Caenorhabditis elegans: one gene and its partner. The protein of the gene in region 1 interacts with the protein of each later gene in a biochemical or structural test. Each region holds a gene or a part of one and is shown in the gene's direction. Other genes may lie near its edges.

Region 1 (4,855 bases):
AACAGCATGCTTTGCAAGTTCTCCAGGAAGAATGAGACGGACAGCGGTTTGGATTTCGCGAGAAGAGATGGTGGATCTCTTGTTGTAGTGGGCCAGACGAGATGCTTCCGAAGCAATTCTCTCGAAGACATCGTTGACAAACGAATTCATGATCGACATAGCCTTGGATGACACACCGGTGTCTGGGTGAACCTGCAAATTATTTAATAATATTTTTGATTTGACAGAATAACTACTTAATATTATTTTGATTTCTATGATCCCCCAAGACTAATTTAAATGATTTTTAAATACCGGTATTATATCGTTGCAGTTCGTACTAAGTGGTACGTAGTTTTAACATACAACATGCTAATGGCTAAAACATTTTTTTATCATAACTTATTCGATTTGAATATATTCTCACCTGCTTTAAAACACGGTAGATGTAGACCGAGTAGGATTCCTTACGAGCATGCTTTCTTTTCTTTCCGTCTTTTGGCTTGCTGACGGTCTTAGCAGCCTTTTTGGCTCCTTTAGCTGATGGTTTTGGTGGGGCCATGATCGAATGAGACACGAAACGAAAATGCGAAACGAATCGATGTGTTTGGCGAGTGTTGTCTATGAGCGCTGCGAAGCGCTTTTATACTCGCCAGCGGTGGCCCCACCTCTCGCTGCCGCGGAACTAGACTCCGCCCACACCGAGAGAAATAGTTAAATAGAGAGGCGGGCGCGTGTGCGCATGCGTATTTTGCATCGATTTTCGTCGGCTTAGACCACTTTTCTGTTTCTCTTTCACCTCCAATTTGCTCATCTAGACTTCTAGTTCATTGTTATTCAACCTAATTTCAGCAAAGATGTCCGGACGTGGAAAGGGAGGAAAAGCTAAGACCGGTGGAAAGGCCAAGTCCCGTTCGTCGAGAGCTGGACTTCAATTCCCAGTTGGTCGTCTTCATCGTATTCTCCGTAAAGGAAACTACGCACAACGTGTTGGAGCAGGAGCACCGGTATGTAGAATTTTAGAGCTGCTGTGTTTTGTGCATTTCCTAGATTAAAAAATCGTTCAAACCTGAACTTGCTAGCATTTTCCAAATTATATCACTTTTGCTCTTGTACTTTTTAAAAACATAATGTTCCAGGTGTACCTCGCAGCAGTTCTGGAGTACCTCGCCGCCGAAGTTCTCGAGTTGGCTGGAAACGCTGCCCGTGACAACAAGAAAACCCGTATTGCACCAAGACATCTCCAACTCGCTGTCCGTAATGACGAGGAATTGAACAAACTGTTGGCTGGAGTCACCATCGCCCAAGGAGGAGTTCTTCCAAACATCCAAGCCGTGCTTCTCCCAAAGAAGACTGCAGGAGACAAAGAATAAGCAGTGTCACAGATGAATATTGCAACTAAAGATACTCCGCCCCGTTAATTTATATGTCATCTGAATGTATTGTTTACTCGGCTGAATTGTAAATGAAATAAATTCATATACTTTGCAGTTATCAGTAAATTATTTTTTAAAATGAAAATAAGAATTTGTTTTAAATACAATTTTTCCAGGTAAGAAACTTCCCAAAATTCGGATTTTTGAAAAAAAAACTATTCGCAAGATCATATTTTCCTATTTTTGCATGTTCTTGTGTCCGAACATGTTTCCGAATGACCAAATAATAATAAAAAATGAGGCTGAAGAATTGCTGGGAAAAGTGTGCGGCAGCATTGCATAATGCCGCGCCCTTGCAAGTGGGCGGGAAGACGTTATTTTTAAGATTTCTTCGCAGTTTGTTTGGTGACATTCGATAAACTGTTTTTGTGCGAATGGATTTGTTTGACTTCCCTTGATTGCATTAAACATATTATTAATCTCTATCTCAAAATTCGAATCGCTCACTGTAATACATTATGTAACTGATTTTTTTCAGACATGAATTACGATGAAGACATTGTCGATGAAGACGAATATGAAGAGTCGGAAGCTACAATGTTGTTCGCTGAAGAAATCAAAAAACAGTTCAAAAGAGAGTTTCCGTTGAAAGCAGAGACAGAAAAAAAGCTGAAGCAGGCAACATTTCGTCGACATGCGCCGGTGGAGGCCAGAAAAATCAATTTCGATATGACACTCTCACCTGGTAAATTAACTTAATCCATTTATTAAAAATGTTTAAAATATTTTATTTAGTGGCTCCAATCGAATTGGCAAGTGCAAAAAAAGAAAAAGAGTCGGCACAGCGTCAATTGGTAACACTCCGTGAAGATCACGAACGTATGAAACAAATGATGCAAACGAATCAAGCGAAGTTGGCTGAAAAAACCATTGATCTGGAGACGAATCGTGAGAAAATGTTGGAGCTGCAAGAGCAAGTCGAACTTCTGAAGCAAGAACGAGATGACACCATCGCAGAGTGTAATCGAAACGTTGATATTTGGACAGCATTCGGCAAAAAATACTACACTTGGTACTCAATGGCGAATACTCAGCTGGAATCTGTGAAATTGTACATAGACAACGACGGAAAGTTTGAAAACGACGAAGAAGTTACACGATTGAATGCAGTTCCAAGACAGATGTACAGGGCTCTTGAACAATTCGATTATGATGATGAAACAGTAGAAGAACTTGGTTCAGGAAGTCTGCTAGAATATGAAGGTGTTTCATTTGCTACCCGTAGACCACCATCTCCTGAAACGGAAAGAGAAATCGCTCGTGCTGATCAATCGGCTGCTAACTTTACTCTACCTCGTAAGTCCGGAATTTTCAAACTTTTGTTTGCAGGCAAATATATTCGTATTTTCAGAATCCAATTTCACACTTCTCGAGGATTCAAATAACACCATAATGCCAGAAGATCAAACAATGATGACTGATGGCTGCATTGCCAATCGATCACTTATTGATTACGAGAAAGATGAGAAAATTCAGCGATTACTACTGGAAAACAGTGTTCTCAAAGATCGTTTGAATGTCTCGAGTGGGCGTGCTGAAAGGTCGATGATTTTCGAAGAACGTAATCGTACTTTAGAGTTTGAGAAGAAAGCTCTCCATAAGCAGTTGGACAGCACATTTGTGAGTGAATAATTATTGTTAAACTAATTTCACGTTTAATTTATTTTAGAGTGAGATTGAAGCTATTCGGATTGGCCAAGCAGGGAACTTGTTCAATATAGACGAGAAAATTCCTTCGAGTTCAGACAATTCCGCTAAGCAACTGCAGCTCATTGACAGAATCACTCAGCTCATTACGAAGAACAATCAGCTCGAAAAAGATTTTGAAGCAGCTACTTCCAGAATGACGAAAGTTATGCGAGAAAGCACAGACTGTGCTCGTCGCAACGAACGACTTGAGGATGCTTTTTCGAGCGAGAGAGTCAGAAGCCAAGACCTTGAAAATGAGAAAAGCCGGCTCTCTGAACAGTTAGAGTTGAGCAACAATGAATTGGAGAAGGTCAAGAAACAGTTGGAAGAATCTCAATCTCAGCTCGATGAAGTTCTCAGCATGACTTTAACTGTCCCAGCTTCAGAACCGGCATCTTTACCTGCTCCAACCGATGCCGGAAATAGTACACAGATTTTCCATATGGCTTCTAATCCACTCCAAGATGCTCACAATGAATTCCAAGCGTCTGAAAGTAGGAAAAGAAAGTTGACAGATGCTCCAGCTGGTGATCAATGGAGAGAGCAAGAGTTTGCTGAATTGGAGAAGCGTCTTTACGACTGCGAAAGTGAGAAAAAAGTACTCGAAAGTAGTTACAATCTTCATAAGGAACTCTCGTCGAAGTTCCGGCAAGTTTGTATTGCTCTGACCGGTCTCCAAATCAAACTGAAAGATGCAGACGAAGGAATATGCACTGTACAAAGCGAATATGAAGGTGGTTCCGCTCAGCAGTTCGTGTTTAAGTATTTCTATGGAACTCCTCGCATCGATATGCTTGATGTCAGCTGTGAATCAACTACTGAAATGCTTCGAAAGTGGGAGCCACTTATGAAAAAGTTTGTTAATTTTCTGGTTACTTACTATTAGAAGTATAAATACTCCCCGTTGTTGTGAGGCATCTTCTTAAAATATGTTTTTTCAGGTACATTGGCGACCGAAATTCGATTCCGGCTTTCTTAGCAGCAATGACTCTTCAGCTGGAACAGGATCGAGATTTTGACGAGACGATGCATGAGAGAACACATACATTCAGTGTCTTACACGAGGACTAAATCATTGAGCTATCTAGATCTCAATTATTTTTCTTCAAAGGAGAAGCTGTTAAATACACTGTTACCTGAATATTTGATGTTTCATTCCATTTTATTTATTTATTTTTTAATCTAAAACGTGTAGTGATCAAAATTAATCACACAATGAACGTTATATTTTCTTTCCAATTCAATGTTTACTATGGTATATTGTTTCGTACAATCTAAAGTTTATCTGCTCGTATATAGGAGAAATACCATTATGAAAATAGGAAAATTGGTTTTTGAACATCCTGTATTTTTCTAAAACGAGTTTGAATGATACCGCAATTAAATGATATAAGAAAATATATTTTCAGATGACAGCGTCAAAAATTAGTGATGTCTCTTTTGTGACTGATTTTGTATCAAAATATCAGAAAGGAATGGAGATGTCTTACACATTGGATGGAAATTCACGTGTTAGTGAATTCAATCAAAAAATGAGCAGTGTATCCATTCTTCTATTTCATAGAGATTTAGAGCAATTTCTTCTAGTTCGTCAATTTCGACCAGGTTTCCAATTTTATTCTATTGAAATGTGAGCGTTAAGTTGTTTTTTAGCAATCTTCACCGCATCAATTTCAAATTCGCCGGAGAATCACGGTAAAGAATTTGATAAAATTGACTGGAGCAGCTATGATTCTGAAACTGGCTACACC
Region 2 (6,638 bases), 710 kb from region 1:
TTTCACGGCCATGGCCGAGAAGTTCGCTGTGTACTTCTCGTGGACAAAAGCAACTGCTAGAGAGAAAACAGTTTTTTGCAACATTTTTGTTGTTTTTTTGTTGTATTTTTCGATTTTGGAACTCGCGCGCGTGGGAGTTTATTTTTATTTTCAGAATATAATAAGCTTTCATCACTCCCACTCCTAAAATACTCTTAAAATTCATATTTCTTTGTTGTTTCATTCAGATGTAAATTAGTGTTCTCCCCTTAAATTTTTTCCAATAATATTCACCTCATAAAAAGCAGGGACAATTCATTTTTTGCAATTGTCGCGAAGCCTCTTCGTTTTCGTTTTGGGATGTAAACAACTCTAGCATGTACTATCTCGCTCTGTCTGCGGCTCGACGCCGCGCCTGTTCCCTCTCTCCGTCCGGCGTCACCGATCATCCATTCCGCGAAGCAAAGCACGCGCGGCCTTTGATCGAAACGTGCACTTTTCCGTACTGCTGTATACTACTGGCAACACCGATATTCGTGCCCGATATCTAACTCAACCGGAGTCTGGCAACACAACCGTTTTTTTTTTCGTTTTCGAACGTTCCTGTTTAAAAAAAAACGTTTAAAAAAGCTTTTCAATGCTTTCAAAAATTAATTAGATAGAAAAACTTTGTTTTCTATTTTTTTTTTTTTTTGGAGATTTCATCAACAACCCACATACTTTCTCTTTTTCCTTCATCAAGTTGTTTGTATTCGTCTCAAGACCGTCAGTTCAAGACCCGGTCTAACCCTATCGGCGCCTCTGTTTGTTGCTTTTCCTTCTTATTTTCCGGTTTTTCTCGCGTTCACTTAATCAAAAAATCATGGCATTGAAACCACATTCGAAGATTTTCTAATTTTGTTACTGAAAAAAAATCTGAAAAAGTGTCTATTTTTCAAATATATTCCCAATTTAACAGTTAATTCGTTATTATTATGTCTCTAATATATCGTTCCGATCGATTAAATTTAGGCACGTTCCGTCTGCGTCTTTCCACGTATGTGCTCCAGTTCCGCTCCTTCTCCCATGGCGTAATCACCCCGCTTTTTTGTATGTTCGTATGCCAGTCGTGGTGCATAATAATCTGTTTCTCTTCGAAAGCTCAGACAAGAGGCAGTGGCCTAATCACTAACTGCGAAAAGTGTATCAAAACCTCTCCTCTTGTTTTTACGTGATGATAATCCGCGTGGTTCATCTCTTCCTTTCTCATTCTCCGTCTCTTAATGTTTTCTCACGATTAATTTTTTTTCGTTTATAGGGTTTCTAAAGTGGCTTATAATTCAAGAGAAATTCTAGAGAAATAATAATTAACATGATTTCCGTAAATTGAATGCCTAATAAGGTTGAGTTAAAAACCAATAATTAAAAATAAGTCGTTTTTGTATATTTATACAGCCGTAAAATGGTTCTCAGACTATTGAAAATTTATCAACTTCAACCAATATGGTCTTTTTTCGCTTGTATACTTCGGCTCTCATAGTATCCCTATTCAAAAATTGTTTGCCGTTAATTTGTTATTCTATTTCACGTTGTTTTGTTGATTTTTCGATAACAAAAGTGCTCGTACATCACAGGTAAACTTTCTGTTTGCATGTTATACAGTATCGATGTGTATAAAATGCCAGAGATCAAAAACTTGAAATTTATGATCAGTGGCATGGTGTTATCGTAGAAATAATCTTGTTTTCCAAGCGGGCAATTCCAGAAAACCGATATTTTCTTTCTTATTTTCCACTGGTTGTCCGTTCCCGTTATTTCTGCTTCTCCTATCTCTTCCTTGTTGGAAAACAAAAAACCACAGACGAACACTCAGAAAACGATATTCTGAAGCAGCAGCGTTACTCATGATGTTGTTGCTGGGCAGTGTCTGAAAATGTTTTCGTGTTCTTGTTTCCGCTGAAATAGGGTCACCACCTCTTTTTTCTCTAAACTCCTATGTCTCTCTCTTCAAATTCTGTCAATTTCCGTCCCTCTGCTTTGTTTGTCACAAAACTCTCTCGTGTGTTTTTTCGCTTTTCTTTTTTTTTATGTTTTCCTTCATTTTCGAATTAAAAGTGTTAAAACTGATTTTCTTAAAAACATAATGAATCTCGATCAAAAAATATTCTAATTTTCAGTCGAAGACGTTACTTCTCCCGAAAGGTTTACGACGGCGCCGGTGAAAGAATGTCGATGACAAGCTTGTCAACGAAGTCTCGAAGACAAGAAGATGTTGTCATTGAGGGATGGCTTCACAAGAAAGGAGAGCACATTCGAAACTGGAGACCAAGGTTTGATTTTTCTATCGGTACTGATCATATATTACCACTGATTCGATAATTTTTATGCTCGAAAAAGTTAGTTAATGATTTCACATCAAAATTTATCTTGAAAACTCCGATGAGTCTTGTTCTCGTTAATCTTTTTATTTTTGTTTTCTACATAAATTCATATATCCGCTTCATCATATACGTCAACTGATTTGTTTTTGCCGCGCACTCGCTCTTATCATGCTTTTCCGGCTGAAAAATCTTCATAAACGTTTTTATGAAGGGGGAATGATGTGACTTCCTGGTAGAGCAGATGATTCTATGTTTGCTACGCTACATAGTACAACTATTCGCTTCAGAATATAATTATTTTCAAACGACTGAAATTAACCGAAAATTAAAGATATCTATGAAATATTCACGATTGCTAAAAACGTATATCATTTTCCTAACAGACAGTACATTGAAAAATTGAATAATAGCAACACGGAAGTGAAACTGTTGTGATTACAGAAAACTCAAAAAATGAAAAACACGATTTTGTGCAGTATTTTTGGATGGTTTTTTTGTTTTTGAGTGTGCATGTCTTCTATCCATAAGTATGTCACCCTTCTCATTTAATGTTCCAAAATAATAAACACATGTGAACGGCGAGTGAGCGATGCGAAAAATAATCAAATTGAAAAAAGAGAGAATGAGTGAGTGCGGAAGTTGAGAGTGACTGAAAACATTTTAAAAAGAAACTCGTCAGAGTGACATAACAAAAAAAACAAAGATGATAAAAGATTGAAAGTTAATGACGTAGAATAATTTCAGATACTTCATGATATTCAATGATGGAGCCTTACTTGGATTTCGAGCAAAGCCTAAGGAAGGACAACCGTTTCCTGAGCCATTGAATGATTTTATGATCAAGGATGCAGCGGTAAGTAGAGATGAGCTTATTTTTCTAAACATCATTCTGCAAAATCATCTACTTTTGCAATATTTTATTTTCAGACAATGTTATTCGAAAAACCACGACCTAACATGTTCATGGTAAGATGCCTTCAGTGGACAACTGTCATTGAGCGAACATTCTATGCGGAGTCGGCAGAAGTTCGTCAGCGTTGGATTCATGCTATTGAGAGCATTTCAAAAAAATACAAAGGCACAAATGCAAATCCACAAGAGGAATTAATGGAAACCGTAAAAATTACACCTTGATCCAGCTTTTTTGAAAAATTCTTTTAGAATCAGCAGCCAAAAATTGATGAAGACAGTGAATTTGCTGGTGCAGCGCATGCAATTATGGGTCAACCATCTTCGGGACACGGTGATAATTGTTCAATTGACTTCAGAGCGTCTATGATTAGTATTGCTGACACCAGCGAAGCTGCTAAAAGAGACAAAATCGTAAGAAAACCTATCTGATAAAAACCTTTGCAAAAAAAATTACAGACAATGGAAGATTTCGATTTTCTCAAAGTGCTCGGTAAAGGAACATTCGGAAAAGTTATCTTGTGCAAGGAAAAGCGTACTCAAAAGCTTTATGCCATCAAAATTCTCAAAAAAGATGTAATCATTGCTCGCGAAGAAGTTGCTCACACTTTGACAGAAAATCGAGTTCTTCAAAGATGCAAGCATCCGTTCCTTACGGTATGTTTTTTATAAAACTATTTTTATTTATTGATTCAGTTCACTCACTTTTGTTTAAATTTTAACCCCAGCACGTCCTTCTCCTATAATCTTCTACCCCTGAGAGTACAATTATTGTCGTAATTTTTATTGTTTTCCCATAGTGTTTGTGGTCGTATTTTCAGGAACTGAAATATAGTTTCCAAGAGCAACACTATCTTTGTTTTGTGATGCAGTTTGCGAATGGTGGAGAACTTTTTACGCATGTACGTAAATGTGGAACATTTAGTGAACCAAGAGCCCGATTCTACGGAGCCGAGATCGTTCTTGCTCTCGGATACCTTCACCGATGCGATATTGTCTACCGTGATATGAAGGTTCGACGATGAAGAATCTGAATGACGAGCCGAACATAGATTATTTTGTTTCAAAAATGTTTTACAACTATCCGCAGTTGAATTTTACGTAGGATAGCAAGATTCAAACACTTAGAACGTTATGCTATCAACTTATTTATTTTACATTGTAAGTAGTAATGTCTCAGTTTATGTCATGCTTCTTTTTTTTCTTCTTATGGTAACGCTTCTTTTCCGATTCACTAATTTATCTTCTTAGTTCGCAACCCTATAGTTTTTATTCTCTTTCCACGCTTTATTTCTGTATTACTGCAGGAACTGAAATACTCGTTTCAAACAAACGATCGTCTGTGTTTCGTAATGGAGTTTGCCATTGGCGGTGATCTCTATTATCATCTAAATCGAGAAGTGCAGATGAACAAAGAGGGTTTCTCAGAACCTCGAGCCCGTTTCTATGGCTCTGAGATCGTCCTTGCTCTCGGATATCTTCATGCAAATAGCATTGTTTATCGAGATTTGAAGGTTAGAAAAATGTTTATTTATAGAAGTAGAATACAGTAGTCACATAGCGGATAGTTGTAGAACATGTAAAAACTAAGAAAACTATCGGCTCGCCATTCGGATTTTCCCCAAGTCTGTATACAAGTTAAATTATATTTTTTAAGCTTGAAAATTTGCTTCTTGACAAAGATGGACATATTAAAATTGCGGATTTTGGATTATGTAAAGAAGAAATCAGTTTTGGTGACAAAACAAGTACTTTCTGTGGAACTCCGGAGTATCTTGCACCAGAGGTAAAAAAATCTCACTCACTTCTCACATTTAAATGTTTTAATTGCAGGTTCTTGATGATCATGACTACGGACGTTGTGTTGATTGGTGGGGAGTTGGAGTTGTGATGTACGAGATGATGTGTGGAAGGCTTCCATTTTATTCGAAGGATCATAATAAACTATTCGAACTTATCATGGCTGGTGATCTAAGGTTCCCAAGCAAGTTGAGTCAAGAAGCTAGAACTTTGCTCACCGGACTTCTTGTCAAAGATCCAACTCAGCGATTGGGTGGTGGACCCGAAGATGCATTGGAGATTTGTAGAGCAGACTTTTTCCGTACTGTCGATTGGGAAGCAACGTACAGAAAAGAAATCGAGCCACCATATAAGCCAAATGTGCAGTCAGAAACTGATACTAGTTACTTTGATAATGTGAGTTGACTAATACATTTTAAATTTTTTCACTAGAAACAAAGATTTTATTTTAGGAATTCACATCTCAACCAGTTCAACTGACACCGCCTAGTAGAAGCGGAGCCCTTGCTACAGTCGATGAGCAAGAAGAAATGCAATCAAACTTCACACAATTCTCATTCCACAATGTTATGGGAAGTATCAATCGAATTCATGAAGCAAGTGAAGACAACGAAGATTATGATATGGGATAATTTGACACCACAATGGCTTGAATTTAATTAATTGCGATTTTAGCCTGTTTTGCAGACTGTAGAAAACTGACCCCTTTGTCTGACATTCAGATATCCTTTTTTAAACAAATATTTAGTCGTTACAGTGACTATATTTTGATCTATTCTCAGTAAATATCGAATTAAAATGAGAAATCTCTTTGTTTTCATCTCTTCCTGTTCTGCCTCCTTCCCTTTGTATACTATCCTTTTTATTCACCTGAGACCGTAGTTCTTTCCATTTCAAAATTCCATCATCGTTTTGTAATATTACTCACAAGCTACGGTTGTGAAAACCAAATAGCGCCATCATTCGTGGATGTACTATGTTCCTATATCATATCCAACAATCCAAATGAAAGAATTTTATCCTCGTATTTTTATTATGGAATGACAAAATATGAACAAAGAAACATGCGAAATAAATAACAGATCAGTACTATAAATTAGATCTTTCCAGTAACAAACTCGTGAACAATCTGTGGTACAGCCGAATCGAATCCGGTAATGTCGAGCATACCAGCATCAGATGGATCGGCAATCGAGTAGTCATATGCCTGCATTGCCATCACAATGACCTTCGCGTCATGAATACCAGAAGCTTCACGATACTTTTTGATGGCTTCGAATGGATGAATCTCTCCAGCCCAGGTATCGTTGTCGGTGTAGATAATGAAGACATCAAACTTGAGATTATTTTCTGTTGCCCAAGTCATTGGAAGGCCACAATCTGTTCTGCCGAACTGAAAATTCAATAATTTAATATTAAATTCAATATTAAAATCATTATGAAACTTACATCAAGGTTGTTAACGTAGTCATTAACTTGTCCGATCTTCCAATCCTTAGTAAACGGAAGCTCAGTGAGCTTATCACAGAAGGCGACACATCTAACTTCGGCTTCATTGTGAAGGTTGATCAAAGACATTCCGGTAGCAGC

What was found.
Region 2: of the proteins of mdf-1 (region 1) and akt-1, one has a biochemical effect on the other in vitro, tested with the Caenorhabditis elegans proteins (one study listed by BioGRID).

The regions. Positions count from the first base shown.
Region 1 is NC_003283.11:9,541,265-9,546,119, reverse strand, and holds mdf-1 (uncharacterized protein), read left to right. Parts: upstream 1-1,893; 5' UTR 1,894-1,895; coding exon 1,896-2,100; intron 2,101-2,150; coding exon 2,151-2,711; intron 2,712-2,766; coding exon 2,767-3,035; intron 3,036-3,084; coding exon 3,085-3,959; intron 3,960-4,045; coding exon 4,046-4,175; 3' UTR 4,176-4,338; downstream 4,339-4,855. Other genes in the region: his-41 (putative histone H2B 3), read right to left, coding at 1-192, 407-541; his-35 (Histone H2A), read left to right, coding at 837-986, 1,119-1,352; C50F4.16 (Uridine diphosphate glucose pyrophosphatase NUDT14), read left to right, coding at 4,514-4,709, 4,758-4,855.
Region 2 is NC_003283.11:10,246,772-10,253,409, forward strand, and holds akt-1 (Serine/threonine-protein kinase akt-1), read left to right. Parts: upstream 1-2,133; 5' UTR 2,134-2,184; coding exon 2,185-2,288; intron 2,289-3,083; coding exon 3,084-3,192; intron 3,193-3,266; coding exon 3,267-3,455; intron 3,456-3,500; coding exon 3,501-3,662; intron 3,663-3,707; coding exon 3,708-3,905; intron 3,906-4,069; coding exon of another isoform or gene 4,070-4,261; intron 4,262-4,555; coding exon 4,556-4,762; intron 4,763-4,905; coding exon 4,906-5,034; intron 5,035-5,081; coding exon 5,082-5,444; intron 5,445-5,500; coding exon 5,501-5,680; 3' UTR 5,681-6,074; downstream 6,075-6,638. Other genes in the region: rop-1 (RNA-binding protein RO60), read right to left, coding at 6,145-6,441, 6,498-6,638. UniProt on the Caenorhabditis elegans protein: Acts downstream of PI3 kinase age-1 and kinase pdk-1 in the daf-2/insulin receptor-like transduction pathway.